Oryctolagus cuniculus: one gene and its partners. The protein of the gene in region 2 purifies or fractionates together with the protein of the main gene of each other region. This does not show direct contact. Links are inferred from orthologs where the notes say so. Each region holds a gene or a part of one and is shown on either strand. Other genes may lie near its edges.

What was found.
Region 1: the proteins of CDK5RAP2 (region 2) and PCNT purify together in Homo sapiens (co-immunoprecipitation; 4 studies listed by BioGRID and IntAct, with this or other methods). This does not show direct contact. The link is inferred for Oryctolagus cuniculus from reciprocal best matches to the Homo sapiens genes CDK5RAP2 and PCNT.
Region 3: the proteins of CDK5RAP2 (region 2) and PDE4DIP purify together in Homo sapiens (affinity purification with mass spectrometry; 3 studies listed by BioGRID and IntAct, counting the BioPlex papers as one, with this or other methods). This does not show direct contact. The link is inferred for Oryctolagus cuniculus from reciprocal best matches to the Homo sapiens genes CDK5RAP2 and PDE4DIP.

Annotation. Positions count from the first base shown.
Region 1 is NC_091435.1:550,362-554,711, forward strand, and holds the start of PCNT (pericentrin), read right to left. Parts: upstream 2,829-4,350; 5' UTR 2,737-2,828; coding exon 2,611-2,736; intron 1,761-2,610; coding exon 1,554-1,760; intron 1-1,553. UniProt on the Homo sapiens protein: Integral component of the filamentous matrix of the centrosome involved in the initial establishment of organized microtubule arrays in both mitosis and meiosis. Plays a role, together with DISC1, in the microtubule network formation.
Region 2 is NC_091432.1:224,487,699-224,491,787, forward strand, and holds the start of CDK5RAP2 (CDK5 regulatory subunit-associated protein 2), read right to left. Parts: upstream 2,837-4,089; 5' UTR 2,648-2,836; coding exon 2,592-2,647; intron 1-2,591. UniProt on the Homo sapiens protein: Potential regulator of CDK5 activity via its interaction with CDK5R1. Negative regulator of centriole disengagement (licensing) which maintains centriole engagement and cohesion. Involved in regulation of mitotic spindle orientation.
Region 3 is NC_091438.1:50,619,514-50,623,136, forward strand, and holds part of PDE4DIP (myomegalin), read left to right. Parts: intron 1-2,025; exon of another isoform or gene 2,026-2,088; intron 2,089-2,732; coding exon 2,733-2,864; intron 2,865-3,623. UniProt on the Homo sapiens protein: Functions as an anchor sequestering components of the cAMP-dependent pathway to Golgi and/or centrosomes.

The DNA of each region.
Region 1 (4,350 bases), on a different chromosome or scaffold from region 2:
GCCTGCCTGGCAGCAGGCAGTGATTGATTACGGCATAAACCACCCCTTAACCGGATTGGCTGCCTCAGCTATATAAGCTGCTGCACCAACTGAAATAGACGAGTCTGCAGGCTGCTGGTCTCTGGCCCGCTTTCACCTGACTCCCTCCTGGTGTCTGTGTCATGATTCCGTGCCTCTTGCCCACAACATTCTCCTCCTCTCAGAATGAATCCACAGCAACACAGCAGGCTTGGCCTCAGGGAATCCATGGGAGCACCACAGCAAGGTCTTAAAATTTTTTAAAGAAGTAAAATTCCAGGCTGGCGCCGCAGCTCACTAGGCTAATCCTCCGCCTTGCGGTGCCAGCACACCGGGTTCTAGTCCTGGTCGGGGCACCGGATCCTGTCCCGGCTGCCCCTCTTCCAGGCCAGCTCTCTGCTGTGGCCCGGGAGTGCAGTGGAGGATGGCCCAAGTCCTTGGGCCCTGCACCCCACGGGAGACCAGGAGAAGCACCTGGCTCCTGCCATCGGATCAGCGGAGTGCGCCGGCCGCGGCGGCCATTGGAGGGTGAACCAACGGCAAAGGAAGACCTTTCTCTCTGTCTCTCTCTCTCTCACTGTCCACTCTGCCTGTCAAAAAAGTAAAAAAAAAAAAAAAAAAAAAAAAAAAAAAAAAAAAAGAAGTAAAATTCCACATTTGTAGGGAGACTATCACAAGTTTTACATGCTGGTGACAATTAATCTTTTATGAATAAGGCAGGCCAGACACATCATGACTGAGCCAAATTCTGCCCTCAAAATTCTATTCCAAGTTCTGTAAATTTGTATTTTCCAGCTCATCCTAGCAAAGACCTAAACCAACACCCACCCTGTTGCACAGAGCAGGGACACTCAAGATTCAAGGCAACTCACTTATAATCCACACGAGAAACCATCCCAGGGAGATTCCACCTAAGGGCAGATCTGGAGAGCCAGGGGAGCCATGAGAGACAGTACCTGCAGCACCCTCAACAGCCACTCACCTGCTGCACCTGCCCCCAGGGGCTCACCCAGGCTGCTCACAAGGCCTTAGCCAGCCAGTCAGCCAGCCTCCTCCAGAAATACCGCATTTCTATGACACCTACAACTCTTCCCATCTCATCACCTTCAGTAAGAAGGTAAAGGACAAAGATAACAGGCCGGTACATATGAGAGTAGATGAAGAAGTACTCTAAGTGTCCAAAGAAACTCATGTTAAAGGGGTTGATACACACACCACATATGACAACCTCCCACGCAACCGCAACACACCAAACACAAGTCACACTTATAAAACTTGCCCTAACTAAAACAACCACTGAAATTAACACTATCTTATTTAGGTATCAATTCAAAATTTCTTAAATTCATATAATAAAGACAAAATACTTAAAAACAGTAAAACCATTATTAAAATTTACTCACCTTTTGTAAACTAAAACAAACTCTCTTTCCCACCTTTGAAAGGGAAAAGCAGACCAAAGTCTACTTTTGGTAAGTTACACTAGCAATGACAAAAAGAGCAAACTGTGAAAACACAACGCTGAGGAAACCTACCTCAGCCGCAAACGCCCCTGTCGCCCCGTCAGGGGTTTCGCAGCATGTGTTGTACACGTCCCTCACTCCAAAGAGTCCACTGTCCTCAGCGGCTACCGGGCTCTCCTCCTGGACAGGCGCATGGACAGCCGAGCCCTTCCTCTTCGCCGTCTTTTTCTTCGAATGCGCACAGTCACCTTTTGTTTTTCTCTGTCGGAAGTGAGCAAGCTGCGCAAGAACGTGGAGAAGTAGTAAAGGCAAAGGTAAGTGAGAAAAAAATAACAGAACCACAAAGTCAACAGACTCGAGGGGAACATGAGGCTCTAGCGCTGACTCGGTCCACGCAGCCACACCTGGCCAATAAGATCACTCTCCCACAAACGCTGCCTTCATTAGTATCTACGACTCCAGCATTAAGTTCAGAATTATCTAAAAAGAGTCTAGTAATGAGGACATTGAGGATGCCTATATCCAGGCAAAAGAAACAATAGAGCTGACTGGCAGAATCGCTTTTCTGACCCTTAGCGGTTTAGGAGAAAATTAGGATTTTTAACCTTAACTCTATTTAAAGGCCGGATAGACTAATCAAGGCATGTTTTAGGTTCAAAATTACAAAAAGCTAAATCGCTCCCTTCTTGCCCTTTTCCCCCAACCGAGGAAATATATATTCCAGCCAAAACTTCCTAGCCATAGAATCTGAGACAAGCTACCAAAATAGCAAAAAATTAATTAAGCCAGGTCAATCTAACATCTTCCTTTACGGAATCAGATGTTCCATTTTTCATGACACAGCTCACCAAAGCACCAGGGACCTCCACAGAATGTCGTCCGTCAGAAGATACAGCCTAGCTCTGCTCAGCCCCTCAACTCTGAGAGCTTTCCTACGTGGTCACCCCCCGCCTCACGCAAAGGGCATGAGGTCCAACAACAGGGGGCCCGTGTTCCTCGCATGGTAACTTGGACCGTAAGTGCACATTTCATGGACACCGGGTCATTTACTTTTGGAAAAAACCACATCAAGGCTGAACACTGCCTCCAAAGCCAACCCCAGCTTTATTCCCCACGTGCCCTCCCTCACTTTCTGAAGCACGGACGCGGCCCCGCCACAGGCCTTGGACTCATGACTTCCCAGGCTCCTAGGAGCACGCTGGCTCTCCTTGCGGACCTCGGGGAACACATGCGGAAGCTCTGGGCTCCGGCTCATTTTCGCATCCTGGCGAGCAGCCTGCCTCAGGCCGTCCGGACACCCCGCCAAAGGAAGCCAAGTGAGGATCCGGTTCTGCGGTCCCTGTCACTGCCCCGCACCGAGAGAACCAGCCCCGAACGCTTCCTCAGGCGGGTCCCGCTCACGCAGGTGACACCCGCACGGAGAGCGCCAATGTGCGCCGGGCCAGGCCCCAGGCTGACCCAGGTAAAAACCCGCGAGTGGGCGGAGCGCCCGGGGCCGCACGCGCCGCTCACAAGGCCAAAGGCGCGCAGCGCCCCGGAGAACGCCATCACGTCTCCCGGGAAACGGGGCGGGGTCGGCAGAACACCAGAGCGCAGGCGCAGCCCCGCCTCGCCCCGCCTACCCGCCAGGCGCTCCCGTCCCGGCCGCGGATTGGCTACAGCCGCAGTGGGGGCGGGCCCGCGCAGAGGGCGGCGGATTCAAGATGGCGGCGGTCAGGAGAAAACTTCCAGTGGAGACGGCGGGAAAGGCAAGGCCTGGCGGTGGCTCCACGCCTAACCGCGTCCGCTCCTGGCAGAGGGCGGCGGCAAGCACCGGAGCCTGCCCCGGAGACTTCACGCTGGGGCAGCGGGAGGAGAGGCGTGCTGCCGTTTACCTTCGCTCTCCCAGCCTCCACCTTTCGGCGCCGCTGCTCTTGCTCATCCTCTTCCATCTCCCTCTTGGAGTCTTCACGAGTCGCCCGGAGCTGGCGGTGTAGACACGGCGCCGACTTCGCTCTATTGACACTCCCTCCCCCGCGCCAGGGCTCGCCCTCCCCCAGCGACAACTGTCACGCACTGTGGGCCCGCCCCGCCGTCGGCCCGCCCCGCTGCGTCGCCAATGAGGACCCCGCGTTCCCGCTTTCGCGCACGCGCAGTCAAGGAGGAGCGGCCCGGGGGAGGCTCCGCCCCTGCTGCTCGCCGGGCTGCGATTGGTGCGCTGACGTGCCTGCCCCTTCTGAGAGGACCGCTCAGCTGTTGGTTAGGTTTAAAATGGGCGGGTTTGTGCCGCTGCGGGTGTGTGAGGTGCGGCGCTCCCCGGCTGCGGGCCTGACGCGCCGTGCGGTCGCTTCCGGGTGGCCGATTTCTCCGCTCTGAGGTGAGGCTGGCCCTGGCAGCGGATCCAGGCTGGGTCGCGTGCGGACCGTCTGAGGGGTCGAGGCTGCAGGAAGTCGGACTGCCTGCCACGGGCGGGCAGAGCCTCTTGGAGCCGTCGCTGGTCCGGGTCGGTCCCACAGGCCAGACCTTTGTGTGGAGAGCGTTCCTCAGTTGTCGGAGCTCCTCTGGAAGCTGAGGCAGACCCCGAAGGCGCCCGCCGCTGGGAGGGGTTAGGGGTGCTCCCACGCCCTCCCCCGCTGTCCACCTGCGGGCTGCCCCTCGAGGGTCACAGGGGCCCCTTCCCCGGAGAAAGCCAGGCAGCGAGAGGATGACCAGAAACAGAGCGGCCGGGACTCGAACTGGGAGCGATACGGGATGCTGGCAGTGTAGACAGCGGCTTAACCCACTGCGCCATAGCGCCAGCCCTGAGGATGCAGTTTTACATGGTACGAAATTGGATCAACAGAGGCCTCATTTGATGAAAAAGTCTCTTAAGTAGAAATGGATTAAAACT
Region 2 (4,089 bases):
GAAGTGTGCAACACCCTGGTCCTGCAAAGGCAGGGAGAGGAGGGAAAGGAGAGTATTTGCTATTCTGTTGAGTAAACTCATTTTAATCCTTATGCTAATCCTGGGCTTAGCACAAACCCATTTTATAGATGATGAAAATTGAAGTTAAAAGAGGATGAGTGACTTATCAAGGTCACAGGGTAAAGTAGCAGAACTGGGATTCAAACTGAGCTAGGTCTGGGTCCCAAAGCCAAGTATTTGGTCAACCAGCACTGAGATGAGAGTGGCGCCAGCTGAGAGAGTAATGGGCTTTATCCTCATGGCAATAAAAAGTGTTCAAAGTACTTAGCAGCAGACTGTGGGGATCAGATTTATATTTAATAGTTTTCCAATCCAGTTAAGAAATGGGCAAAGGACTTGAACAGGCATTTTTCAAGAGATAATACAAACGGCCAACAGACACATGAGAAAATGCTCGGGATCACTAGCCATCAGGGAAATGCAAATCAAAACCACATGAGGTTTCACCTCACCCCCAGTTAGAATGGCCCTCATAAGAAATCAACAAACAATAAATGCTGGCAAGGATGTGGGGAAAATGGAAACCCAGCTCACTGCTGATGAGGATGTATTTCAATGCAGCCACTGTGCTAGGATGGAGATACCTCAGAAATCTAAATACAGACCTGCCATATGACCCAGCCATCCACTCCCAGGAATTTTCTCAAATGAAATGAAATCTGCGTATCAAAGAGTGATCTGTACCCTCATGTTTATTGCAACTTATTTCACAACAGCTAAGATACAGAATCAACTCAGATGCCCATCAACTAAAGACTGGATAAAGAAATTATTCTATATATATACTATAGAATACTATACAGCAGTTAAAAAAATGAAGTCCTTTCATTTGCAACAAAATGGATGCCACTGGAAACCATTATAGTTAGTGAAATAAGCCAGTCCCAAAGTGACAAATATCATGTTTTCCCTGATCTATATAACTAATAGAGTACCTAAAAGGTAATCTATAGAAGTAAAATTGACATTTTGAAACTTGATATTTGTTTACAGGCCTTTACTGTTGAGGAACAGTGCTTTTTTTCTTCATACTATTTGTTGAACTCTTCACTTAGTTTAGGGTTAATCTTATGAGTACAAAGTTAACGGAAAACAGATATTTGTAAAAATTAAGAATAGGAATAAGAGAGGGAGGAGGAAGAAGGGTGGGAGTGTGGGCAGGAGGAAAGGTCGGGGAGGAAGTATTAGTATGTTCCTGAATCTGCATATAGGAATACATGAAATTTGTATACCTTAAATAATTTTTTAAAAAGCTAGCCATATTCTAAAAAAAAAAAATAGAGTTTTCAAGCTGTAGTATTAACAACTGCTGGTGGTTAAAGGAAGCCAGAACAGTACAGGTGAGAGGCAGTGGTAGTAGTGGTGGTTAAGATGAAGAGAAGGGACATAATGAACTTCCACAAAGATCTGATTAGGCAAAAGCTGCAAAGAGCTTTGTACGTGATACACAGAGTACGCATCTTCCAGATTTGCCCAGGACACCACCGCTGGATTCCTACCTTGCTGTTCAGGCACACATACTGACTGTGCCCAAGTTACTCTTAAAAGCATCCAGTTTACACATTAAATAACAATTTCATTCACTAAGAATCTGTTGAGCAAAAGCAGCAGCCTGTCCCTAGGAAAACTAGGTAAGCAGTGTGGGTTCCGTCAGGACTCTCCTCCCCTTCCTTCCATCTACTCTCCCATCAGGACCCAGGTACAACCCGAGACCCAGCCCAGAGCAGTCTAGGACCCAAGCAGAACCTCCTGCCACAGAGACCCCAGCCCCACCAGCAATGGGGACTTGGAAGGCCACTCTCAGCCATTAGTCCTCAATCTCCATCACTACTGATCATAGTAAGGACAATGGCAACACTAGAGCATTTTTTCAGCACTCATTGTATGCCAGGCACTAACTACACTTGCCCAGTGAACTGCCTCTTTCAATCTTCACCCCATTCTGCTGCGTGGATATTAACACCGGCCCACTGTGCAGATGGGAAATCAGATTCAGTCACTTTACCAAGGCCACCAGATGACTACTTTATAAGTCTGAATTTGAATCCAGTTCTAACTCCAGCCAAGGAACTTAAACACTGTACTTCACTGCTTCCATCCTCCGTCGCGACTCTGTGACCTTAATAAGAAAAGTCTGGGCGCTGGCACTACCTCCCCCACGATGAAAGCAAACCCGTGCCCAGGGTGAGCCATCAAACACCCTCAAGACCCCCGTCCCACAACCAGCCCCCAACTACTAGCATACTCCAAGTGGTCCCCCTCGGCCTGCTCTTTCAGAAAGCCCCTTAACCCGGCTTTCACCTCCTCTTCCAAGAGCGCCCCAAAACAACAGAAGCGAGTGTGGGGCCAGTGGGGACCCCCACACGATCAACGCAAAGCCTCCCTCCGTAAAATAACCTGAAGTAGGCAGGCATACACACACACTGCCCGGGACCAAACACTCCAACACCCGCAAGAGCAAACCCCAGGGCCCCATCAGCGGAGAGCCCAGCCTGATGACCGCGAACCCCCTCACTGTGCCCGGGCCGCACCTGCAGCCGCTGAGCGTCCCAGGGAGGCTGACGTCCTCTTCCAACACCGAGTCCATAGCGGATGAAAAGGCGATGGTGGCGCTGGTGCCTGTGGGGGCGGCGCCACTGGTTGCCCCCGCTGTGGCGACCCGCCCGTCTCCCCCGGTCCCCGCCCCCCTTCCAACCCAGCTCTTGTTCTGACTCCCGCGGCGCCGCTGGAATTCAAACCACAGCGGCCGCCATATTTCCCGGCGCTTCTTCCTGCGGAAACAAGGCGGGGCCACGGACGCGCGCTGTGAAGCCAACCTGCGGCGGCGAGAGGCAGGGCAGGGAAGCGGCAATGGGCGCCATCTTAACTAAGGGCAGAACGTCGGCGCTTTAGCCCATAAAACTAACGAAAGAGAAGGAGCTGCCATTTTTTATGAGGGCATTCCCGCAGGAGCCCGCAGGTGCCATCTTTGTTGAGGGCAAAAACTGACTGTGGTCCGTTAGTTTAAGCGGGAGATGGGAATACAGTTCCTATGGGAACTTCAGAGTTCCTGAGGCGGTATTTGCTTTTCTAGAATGATGACTCTTTGGATCTGTGTCTCCAAAAGGCTCCCACCCATATACTAAGATGCTGATTCACTTTAGAAAAATCCTACCTGTGGAATCCTAGTTGTTTGCACACGTAGTTTGAAACAAATGGTTCCTCCCTCCGATACAAGGGGTCAGACTCCACTCCAAGCTCGCACTTAGTGGTCCTTTATTACCATTACTACTAAAACGCGCCTGCAATAGCTAAACCAAGGCTCGAAAGGAGTGATTCCCCCCTTAGTAATATGCACTAAGTCTGTGAACTGGAGCCAGATCCGTGGCTCCTGCCAACTAAATGAGGACTCTCCTGAGGCTGGCATTGTGCTACAGCAGGTTAAGCCCACCTCCCATATCAGAGGGCCCACAGAGTGCCTGATTCTAGTCCCAGCTAGTGCACTTTCAATCCAGCTTCCTGTTAATGCATGCCCTGGGAGGTAGCAAGGTGATGGTTCAAGTACTTGAATCCCTGCCACCCACCTGGGAGACTCGGATGCAGTTCTTGGCCCAGCCCTGACTGTCGTGAGCATTTGAGGAGTGAAAAAGCAGGTAGAAGATCTCTGGCAGAAGATCTCTCCTCTCCTCTCTCCTCTCCTCTCCTCTCCTCTCCTCTCCTCTCCTCTCCTCTCCTCTTCTTCCCTCCTCCTCTTCTCTCCCCTCCCTCAGCATTAGTGAGGCTTTCAGAGCCCAGCCTCTGCACTTGTCCCTCTTCCTTCTGCAGACCCTCAGTGTGGGGAGCAAACCGGACTAGACTGAGTTACTGGAATTAAGACTTATTCTATGCATCTGCTCTCCCACAATATGGCGCTGGGAGAGAAGTAAACAGCTTCCGCACAGCTGCCTCCAGTTCAGCCAATAAACTGTAGGACTTGCTCCTGATTGGAGGAGAGCAGCGTACTCGGCGTGTGGGCAGCCGAGTTGGGATTGGCGGAGGAGGACTATAAAG
Region 3 (3,623 bases), on a different chromosome or scaffold from region 2:
GCAGCAGCCTCCTTGCCCTTCTCTGCATTTCTACTGGTGCTCCCCAGCAATCCATTCACCACTAAGCCAAGAAGAATGATCTTTTGAACATCTGATTATGATTACTCTTCTGTTATGCACACCGTAGCCCACTCTCAATTCAATTAGAATGAAATCCGAGTTCATTAACTCTGCTGTCCAAAGCCACATGTGACCTGGGTGCTGTCTACCTATACACCTCATGGTATTACACTTTTCTTTGCCCATTGTTCTCTGGTCCTGTGCTGTCCATAAGCTAGCCACTATCCTTAGGTGGCCATAGAACACTGGAAATACAGCTAGTCTGAATCAAGATATGCCGTGTCAAACGTGCCTCGAATTTTAAAGTCTTCGTCTGAAAAAATTATGTAAAATATCTAAACAATGTTTATATTGATTCCATGCTTATGATATTTTGTATATATTGGGTTAAAGTATTAAATTTATTTTTTAAGTTCTTTTTTTTTTTTTTTTTTTACTTTCTCCAATGAAATGATTAGAAAGTTAAAAGTTCCATATGTGGCTCACATTATGTTTCTGTTGGAAAGCACCACCCTAGCCACATGGGCCATCCTCTTTCCCAGACTCACGCTCTGCTGATCTTCTGTAGGACTGGCTCCTTTTCATTCAGATCTCTATTTAAATGCTGCCTCACAGAGACCTTCCCTGACTAATTTAATCACCTGGCTGCCAACTCTCTGTCCTGCTTTCCTGTTTTGCTAGAGGGGTTTGTCACTGTCTGCTATTTTGTATATTTCTTTATTATATAGCTCCCCATTCCAACCCCTGAAAATATAAGTTTCAAGGGAACAGGGACTTGGTTGCTCCAATACAGTACTCCATTTCTAGGTAATGGTATCGTTTGGAAGTCAGTGTTTTGTATGCACTAGCCCTACATTTTCCTCTCTCTTTTCTCTTCTTAGAATGGCTTTCCTCATCCACCATAGCCTCCTGTAAAGATCCTCTCCAGATTAAATTTTGTGTCCCCCAAGAAGCCTTTCCTATACTTCTTTTGAAATGAGTGTTTTTCTTCTCTATTTTCATGATATTACTACTTCCTCAGTAGACTGAGATGGTTTGGAGCCAGGGCTATGTGTTAGTCAACACTGAATTTCTCACATGGTGCTGCACATGTTACAGCAGTTATTGATGCTAGGAAGTTTCATAAGTAGTACTAGAGGAATAGGAAATATTTTTCTTCTAAACTCTGTATTTCCAGTCACTTGCTTGCAGGAAGAGTTTTAAGATATCTTGTGATTCCCCTGTCTGGAAGATGATAAAGGGTGAAAGTGTAAAAGAAAAAATGAATAGCAGCTGTCCCCCCCCCCCCTTTCCTAATTGGATTGCTGATTGGAGTGGAAGAAGGTATGGCGAGAGGAGGTGAAATTTAATGCCACAGTGAGTTCCTTAAATTTTATTTTAATATCCTTGGCTTATGATGATTATTAAGTTCAATAAGTTTATCTTAGTCTGATTGTCTTAGTGAATTGATATTCTTATAAAAAGCCCCACCTTCCCTGACCGCTGTGGATTATTTATCCAGACATGTGCTATAAATCTATCTTTAAATAGGCATATGTTTTACATTTAAGTCTTTTTCCTTTCTATTTTGGAATGATTCAGGTATACAGGGAGGTTGCAAGAGAAATACAAAGAACCACCCTTACTAGGTTTACCAGTAGCTAATATTTTGCCACGATTGCTTTATCCCGCTCTTTTTGTTTAGGCATGTTGCTATTATTTTTTAAAATCTTGGAACCATTTGGGAATTAGTTGCAGCTATAATAATAGCCTTTACCCTAAATACTTAAACATGTATTTCCTAAGGACAAGGATATCTCTTACACAACTGCAATGAAATCACCAAACTGAGGATATTAGTACTAGTAAAATACTATTGTCTAATACAGAGTCCATATTCAAAATCTGCCATTTTTTTCCAGTAATGTGAACAGGCATGTTTTAAGAAAGGTTAATTGGAATATTATACTTCCTCTCTTAGGAATGATGTGTTTGCTTAGTCTTTCCGATTCCCTGATGCAAAATGGATAAAGCAAATATTTGACTATTGTAAGCATTTTCTTTTGTAACTCCCTCCCTTCTCTTTAAACACTGAAGTATTTGCTGAGTGAATACGTATATTTGTATGGGTGGGTAGGGAAGGGCAGGGAGGGAAGGGGAGGGACAGGGCATAGTAAGGATGGAATGGAATTGGTGCTCTTTTTTTTTTTTTAACACTATTTTTTCCCAAAGATGTATTTATTTGAAAGGCAGAGGTTTATATTTATATATAGAGAGAGATCCTGGGAGAGACAGACAGATTTTCCATCTGCTAGTTTACTCCCCAAATGGCTGCAACAGCTGGGGCTGGGCCAGGCTGAAGCTGGGAGCCTTGAACTCCATCAGGTTTCCCACATGGGAGGCAGGGGCTCAAGTACTTGGACCATTTTCTGCTGCTTTCCGAGGCACATCAGCAGGGAGCTGTGAACAACCAGTGCTTATATGGGATGCCAGCATTGCATAACCACAAGGCTGGCACCAGAGTTGTTGCTCTAATAAGGAACAGGACTGTCTTCAGGAAACCATGTAGCTATTTCACACAACAGCTCCAATCTTCCAGGTCTCTGGCAAAAGATGCCTCACACATTTGAATATGAAGATAGCATTTATTGTTGGCTTCATTTAATTCAACTTGTCTCACTACTTCTTCTTAGCCCATGTCTGAAGAGTTACTCAAACAACAAAAGGTGAATTCAAATGAGACCACTACAACTCAGCAATCTGTACCTGATTCCCACTTGGCAGAACTCCAAGAAAAAATCCAACAAACAGAGGCCACCAACAAGGTATGATGAATTCTATGCCCTTGGAGATCACCTGGATTTTCTGAGATTGTGCTGGCTCTAGCTTGAGCCTGTTAACCTGGATAGGACGTGGGAGATGAATTCTGTGGACTCCTAGTGCTCTAGGGAATATTTCACTTAAAGGTATAGGCTTCCGTCCCTCCATCCCTTCCTTCCATCCTTCCTTTATTTATTTACTTGAAAGACAGAGTTACACAGAGAAAGGAGGGGCAGAGAGAGAAAGAGGTCTTCCATCTTCTGGTTCACTCCTCAATTGGCCGCAAACGGCTAGACCCGCGCCAATCCGAAGCCAGGAGCCAGGAGCTTCTTCCAGGTCTCCCACATGGGGGCAGGGGCCCAAGGACTTGGGCCATCTTCTACTGCTTTCCTAGGCCATAGCAGAGAGCTGGATTGCAAGTGGAGGAGCTGGGACTCAAACTGGTGCCCATATGGGATGCTGGCACTACAGGCGGCGACTTTTACCTGTTACGCCACAGCGCCGGCCTCTCCCTTTCTTTCTTATCTAGATTTTACTTGCTCTATACAGACCACAATTTCTGGTGTGCCTTTTAGGTGTATGATTATAACTTGTGTTATAATAAGTCTTTAACTGTAAAAGGTGCCTGGACAGGAAGTTTGTGCTTTTTGGTTTAGCTTAACTTCTTACCCTTTTATGGCCCATGGATTTAAAAATGTGTTCTGAGAAGAAAATTGCTACAATATGGGATGCCAAACTTCTGGCCTGGTGTGCCATTGTAGCTT